Linked DNA regions of Saccharomyces cerevisiae S288C. The main gene of each other region encodes a partner of the protein of the gene in region 2 in a complex. Each region holds a gene or a part of one and is shown on either strand. Other genes may lie near its edges. A codon is read from its position in the direction of its gene.

Evidence for each region. The genes of interacting proteins can lie anywhere in the genome.
Region 1: the proteins of YPT6 (region 2) and RGP1 are in contact, whole or in part, in a cryo-EM structure (PDB 9AYR), measured with the Saccharomyces cerevisiae proteins. Residues at the interface, in NP_013363.1 of Saccharomyces cerevisiae: Leu8 (codon at 1,285), Asn195 (codon at 724), Lys196 (codon at 721), Pro197 (codon at 718), Gly198 (codon at 715), Val199 (codon at 712), Ile200 (codon at 709), Asp201 (codon at 706), Ile202 (codon at 703), Ser203 (codon at 700), Thr204 (codon at 697), Glu206 (codon at 691); in NP_010421.1 of Saccharomyces cerevisiae: Gln462 (codon at 3,109), Gln487 (codon at 3,184), Asn488 (codon at 3,187), Ala489 (codon at 3,190), Tyr490 (codon at 3,193), Gln491 (codon at 3,196), Ile492 (codon at 3,199), Asn493 (codon at 3,202), Arg494 (codon at 3,205), Asn495 (codon at 3,208), Asn496 (codon at 3,211), Glu644 (codon at 3,655), Phe645 (codon at 3,658), Thr646 (codon at 3,661), Cys647 (codon at 3,664), Tyr648 (codon at 3,667), Val649 (codon at 3,670), Pro650 (codon at 3,673).

The regions. Positions count from the first base shown.
Region 1 is NC_001136.10:726,534-730,291, forward strand, and holds RGP1 (Rgp1p), read left to right. Parts: upstream 1-1,725; coding exon 1,726-3,717; downstream 3,718-3,758. Other genes in the region: ATP-binding cassette glutathione S-conjugate transporter YCF1, read right to left, coding at 1-1,018. UniProt on the Saccharomyces cerevisiae protein: The RIC1-RGP1 complex acts as a guanine nucleotide exchange factor (GEF), which activates YPT6 by exchanging bound GDP for free GTP. It is thereby required for efficient fusion of endosome-derived vesicles with the Golgi.
Region 2 is NC_001144.5:667,586-670,710, forward strand, and holds YPT6 (Rab family GTPase YPT6), read right to left. Parts: upstream 1,307-3,125; coding exon 659-1,306; downstream 1-658. Other genes in the region: sphinganine kinase LCB5, read left to right, coding at 1-322; VPS63 (Vps63p), read right to left, coding at 652-978; TMA7 (Tma7p), read right to left, coding at 1,883-2,077; RED1 (Red1p), read left to right, coding at 2,755-3,125. UniProt on the Saccharomyces cerevisiae protein: Protein transport. Might participate in post-Golgi transport.

The sequences.
Region 1 (3,758 bases), on a different chromosome or scaffold from region 2:
ATTTTTGTGGGTGGTTATTTTCAAACCCTTGAAGAGAAGAATGGTCATCCTGTCTCTCACTGTTATAGTCTGTGACGAACTTGATTAAAATCCTTAGTAGTTGTGGTTGAGTAAATGCTAGAACATCATGAATTGCTTTAAAGAATGCGGCTAAAAGCATTTTAGATCCAAAAGTTCTGCATATAGCCCATGATAATGAAGGATTTGATTTTTGCTTCAACTCATTTTCCCAGTTTTTCTCCAATTTTTGAGAGAGTTCTTCACTACTAAAGTTCCTCGGTAATTTATATAAATCTGCTTCCACTAAGTATTTTTCATAGCCAGTTTTCATCAAACCTGACATCCAAGAGAAGGTAATCCTGGAAAATATGTTTGCGCTATCGTATGGATTTGGTTTTCTTCTTGTTAAAGTTTGATGTATGTGTTGATGTGGCATTAGCGGCTTCTTTGGAAGAGCTTCAAGTAACAGGATACTGGCACATGTTATTACTTGGAATAACGTTAGTATGAAACCCGTTTGTCCGGAATACCAAATGCCTTCGTAGGTGTGTCTAATTAGAATATTTATTAGTTTAGCAAAATTACCGAATGTTTCAAAAAGCCAATAGAATAAAAGTACCGTATTGGCTACAACTGATCTATCGTATTCTATCCAGTGTAAGGCTAAAGCAACAAATAAAGATAACATTGTAGAAGCATATTGACTTACAATGGTAAAGTTTTCCGCTTCTTCTTTAGAAATATTTAAAGACGCAAGTGAAACAAACGCTATCTCCAACAGAACTAGTGCCATCCTAGAGACAATAATCCAATTCCGCCTATATTTGATGCCAGAGTGTTTTTTCTTGCAAAGGTTAACTAAATCTCTGATACCGAAGGTTATCATGAAAATTGCTGATAGATTTAGGATCACACCGTCGATGAAGCATTGAGTAAAGTCACCGTAAAAGGATATAGGTCCAAACCCTTCAGGAGATCTACAGAGCTTGCAGGCCCATGAAACAAGATTACCAGCCATTTTCTTGTTCTTTACGGTAGTACGATACCCCTAATTTATTCTCAAACTGTTAATTGAAAAATTGTAGGTTGTAAACCAGCTTCCACATAGCAGATGATCACAAGAGGTTATCGCACCTTTTATAGCAGCTGCTAACTTTTTTCATCAATTTCGTAATTACTAAGCCGTAACCTTCCACCGCCCAAGCATCACACCAGGAGTTACATATTTTTGTATTATCATAAAGAAACACACGCCAAGATATCTACAGAAACCAGATGTTAGCATTAGATATATATATTCGTATTGATGCAGCATAACAAGCGTACTATGGATTGCAAAGTAATGTAGATTCCTGACCAGTAGATCTGCTCGCGCAAGAGAAACATTCATGAACTCTAACGACAATAACAGTAAATCCACCTCACGGAGAACGATAAAAGTCTTCATTTCTCCATGAGGTGGAAACGTTGTTTGAATATTAAACATAATACTTGAACTTCTTGTGTAATTTTTATTTTTTAATCGAAGTCTACTCCGAAGTCTCCTATAAAGCGTAAGGCGCGTCTCCAAAGTGCTATTTTTCAAGATCAATTCAGCTTCAAAGAAGCTTTGATACCTACGGGGCAATGCAAAGGCTGCCAGTCGAAACAAACAGCGAAAGCTAGCCCATAATTTCTTGAGCTGTTGATTTTGATTGTGATATTTTTCATACTTTAGAAGAAGATATGCGTGCGCACAGAATCGATACATTTCTCATAAGAGAAAACATCAAACTGGAGATCATACATGAATCGAATTCCTATTTTGGTGGAGAACATATATCAATTGCTTTCCGATTTAAGCACCTAGGCTCACAGCATGAATTGTTCAACTATAAAGAAAAGCTTCTCACTGTCGATAAAGCTGTTGAAGAGAAGTTGGAACAACAAGCGAAAGTGCAAGATGATGGTGAAGGCACGATGGAAAATCAAACCTGGTCCCTAAAATCATTACTAGGTGCCTTCAAAAGAACAGGCGAACCTGAAGAGAGTGTGGATGTGGATAACATGAAAATGCTAAATGAGAGTAAGATGTTAAGAGAAAAAATACAGAAGCAAATGTATTTTCATCAACCTGTAACGTTAATATCCGGTTATGTTCAAATATCGGGGGTCTTTCAATACGATTCAGAGGTAATTTCAGAGTCAAAATTTAAACAAGATGAAGTAAAAATGGTAGGACTAGATATTGTACCTGGACATACGACAAATTCTGTTCTTGCATTGGAAGATGGAGAACATTTCAAAGGTAAAAGAAATTTAACCAACTACCTCAACTCAGATTATACAAATGTGACCAATGGTCTTCTTTTCTCAGAAAGCGGTTCTAGGGGAAGAACAGGTACCTATAACGAACGGACCTTAATGATATCAAACGATACCAGTATAAAAACATTACCTCTTCTTTTAATACCACAGACGCTTTTATTTTCTGAAATTTCTTTAGAACCAGGTGAAGTAAGAACATTCTATTTTAAATCCACAAAGCTGCCAAAAGATATATGCCCAAGTTATTCATCGTCAAAAGTGGCATCAATAAATTACACGCTGGAGGTTGGTGCGGATGTACTTTCTGATGATAATATCGAGAAATTTTCAAATAGAGTCCCAATAACAATAGCACCATATATTAGTTCGAATGCCGAACAGTACACATCACGTCTGGATAAGCCTGCTATCATATTAAAGACAGGTAACATAAAGGAACTAAAGCCACGTTTGTTTACTCGAAAAGTTTCTACGGCTTCTGCTGTATCATTTGGTAGGAGAAAATCTTCTATAATTGACATTGATTCTCCATTAGAAGATAATGAATTTGTCAAGCGTGTCAAAAAAAACTTCATTGAACTGGTGGAATCTAACCAAAATGTGTCAAGAGATATAGACGAACTTATTGACTTGCAAATGGGGGTACAGTTCGGAAAGGATGAGGATTCTTCGGATCCTGAACCCAACGACTCACACTTTTCGAACGAAATGGTGACGTCTGCAGAGTCTAGCCTGAGAAGCGATGCTGTAACTAAGAGGAGAAAAAGTTATTCGGTACGCGATAACATTTCTAACCTCGAGCAAAAGATGTGGAACGATTGTTCTCTCGTTAAGTCAGATGAGAATTCTAATCTTCTACCTCAGCTAATTAATTTACAGAACGCATATCAAATTAACAGAAATAATGAGACTATGGCAAAAGTATCCTTATCAGCACCTTTTTATAAGACAACTGATGATATAAATTTAGTCATTGAATTAGATCCGATAACGACGCCTTTACTTAAAGTGACTTCGTTGACTGTATCCTTAGAATCGTTTGAAATTATAAATCCAAAATATAAGACTGAAGGAAAAGGAATAGGGAGCAAACCAAAAGGAAACTCGGTGTATGAGAAACATTTTATTTGTTTCGATGAGTGCAAGTCCGTATCGGTGAAATTACTTCCTCCAAGATCGCCTACAAACCAGATTACCGGACAATTCAAGACAGATGTTTTTCAACATAAGTGGATGATAGGACTAAAATTTGTAATAATTGCAAAGACAGAAAGTATCACTTTGGATCAATTTTATGAGGATAAAAAGGGCATCCTATTCCATTCAAAAGAGAATTTAGAAGGTGAAGAGTTTACATGTTACGTTCCCATTCCAATACTGTGTACATCCGAAGATTTCATGGGATGGTAAGCAATAAATGGGTGCAGTTTACTCGTATAATTGGTTTTGCA
Region 2 (3,125 bases):
GGCTGCTGACACTAAATTCTTTCCGGCAGCGCTTCCTTCAGATGGTACAATGGATATGGTTATCACCGATGCAAGAACCTCGTTGACGAGGATGGCACCAATCCTGCTGGGACTAGATAAGGGTTCCCATGTTTTACAACCGGAAGTCTTACACTCTAAAATTTTGGCATACAAGATAATACCAAAGCTAGGGAACGGCTTGTTCTCTGTCGATGGCGAGAAATTTCCTCTAGAGCCCCTTCAAGTCGAAATTATGCCACGCTTATGCAAGACGTTACTGAGAAATGGCCGTTATGTGGACACAGATTTCGATTCTATGTGACACTTTACTTAATCTTTTCCTTCGTACTGAACAATTAATCAAAAACTAGAATATGTCATTTCTATTTCTTCTATATTTTTTTTACGTTGTTGTTGTTTTTGTTGTTGTTTGATAACTTTATACACTCCATACTTCTTTATAAAAAGTTTTAATACCATTCTTTAATACAACCATGTTTAGTGAGTACTAGCTCCTACACATCAGATCGTCAAGTACATTATGATTATGATTATTATTAATATTATCAGTACAATTATTATGTGCTGGTAGTTCACTAAAAAATATGACGCACACAAAGAGTTCTCCTTATGCCCTATAGAACTGAAATATTAGGTGCTAACACTGACAAGCGCTTTGTTCCTGCTCCTCTGCTGTAGAAATATCAATGACTCCCGGTTTATTTTGGTTTGCACTATTTGCATTTTCGCTATCCAAAGGAGTTGACTCGCTGTTTTGAAATTCAGGCAGCGATTTGGCAATCTTTTTGAATAAAGCTTTGACATTATAGCCTGCCTTTGTGGACGTTTCCATAAAGATTTTAGCACCCAATAGTTTTGCTTTTTTCTCTCCCTCTTCGGTTGAGATTTGCCTTTCATCTGATAAATCACTTTTGTTACCAACAATGCACAATATAACATTTTCGTCACCTCTTTCATTTTTAACGTCTTCTATCCATTTATCAATATATTCAAATGATTTTCTCTTCGTAATGTCGTAAACGATAATAGCAACTCTCGAATCTCTGATATATGAAGGTATTAATGATCTAAATCTTTCCTGACCTGCTGTATCCCATAACTGTAATCTAATTGTCTTATCATCCAAATACATGGTCTTGGAAAGAAAATCTATACCAATCGTGGCTTGGTAATGATCATCGAACGTATCATACATAAATCTAGTGATCAGCGATGTTTTTCCAACACCCTGTTCTCCCAAAAAAACAATTTTGTACTTTGTCAATGATTTCCCGGATCTGCTCATTGTTAATCTCTTCTTTGTTTATCTTTTACTGTTCAGAATCAACAGCTTCAAACACTTCTTTTCACACAACCTTAAGTGCCCAATTGTGATATTCTTACATCATACATAGTAACAATCTATATATGGGCAATATTTTCCTCCACTAATTGAGCTGTGCTGAAGGCTTTATTACCCGGAAATTATTCGGCCATTTTTCACTAGAAGTTAATACCAGCACTAACGAATAGAAGCACCCTATTCTACTCAAGATGCCCGGTTCATGAATAGGGAGAAGTATTTTTCTTATTTTCCTTAGCCATCTATAAATATTTATCCTTATGCCTGTCACCACAATAGAAAAGGGTCCATTATATATCAGTTGTTTTCGTACCTCTAGAGAGACACGCAAGGGGCTTTATTTAGGAAACCTCCAAATTTGCTAGATGTAACCATTATACATAGTAATTACGATTGTAAAACATCGGAAAGAACGATATATCTTGCAAATAGCTTTTCTTTGGTAATATATGTATTTACTTAAAAAACGAGAACTAGAAAATACTGAGTAAATTTTTATTAGACGTTGTTAAAGGCCTTTTATTTCTTACCAGATTTTTTGATACCACCACCCACTAAAGGTTTACCACTTTTCATATTAGCCATCAAAGCTTTCTTAGCAGCAGCATCGGCCTTTTGCTTCTCTTTGAAGGCAATGTCTTCAGGATCTAAGTCCTGTTGTTGCTTCTTCTTTTGCTTTAGAGGCTTCATCTTACCACCTTGGCGACTAGACATGATTGCTTAGGGTTTTTCAGTTATTCTTCTGGTTTTGCAACTTACTGTGCGTGGAAGAGCAATCAATTACAGGATTTTAAACATGAAATTTTTTATTTTCCTCGTTCATTTTCGTCGCGGGAAACTTCCAGAAGTATAGATTTACTACAATTTTTATCTCAGGACAGAAAGAATAAACCAAAAAAGCCAAGACAAGCCAAGCCAAGCCGAGGCGACTGGAGGAGCTTTTCATCACATTCAATGACAAATCACAACAGGTTTCCCTGTTAGAAAAGGCATGTGCACTCACAATTCATATTTTCATACAGAAGATATACATTGGATTTCTGGAGATATCAGGTAAGGTTCGACAAAAACAATGGCGTTTGCCAACCCTTTATGATGGGTGATCTTGTATCCGCTTAATTGTGTGATCTAAAAAGGCAAAGTAACGTATTATTGGCTGGTTTATATAATTTGAATATGACTACTTTTTCAACGTTAAAAACGATAAATACTTGCTCAAAGGGTTCAGCGGCTAAATAAACTACGATTTCGCAGCAGGATCAGATGGATTCAATCACATCATTCGCAAAACATTCACATCATTCGTGAAGCATTAAAGGTAATAAGAAAAATAGAACAAAGATTTTTTAATCAGTGAGGACCACAAAGGGACAGCAAATACGGTGATAAGAATGGAAGGTTTGAAGAAAAAGATTTTTGGTGTTTGCCTGAAAAATGACTTAGCACAGACTAGGAATGAAACGAAAGGAATCCACTATGGGTTAATGACTTTGGAAACTTCTAAACAACTGCAGGAATTTCTCCATTTGCTAGTAATAAAGAGAGAAGTAATTCAAAATTTTGAGTTGTTATTTCACATCATAAATGTTGCCGTTAAAATCACCGATTCAAATCTTCCAAGTGATGATATCTGGCATTTCATTTTAAAATTAAGATTTTCTTCTGAGATTAATATAGACGAAGACTCCAAAGTTTTAAATTATTTACTTGAGACTGGCATCGCAATGGAAAATCCAGTCAGTTGGAAATGCTTGGCCGTTAT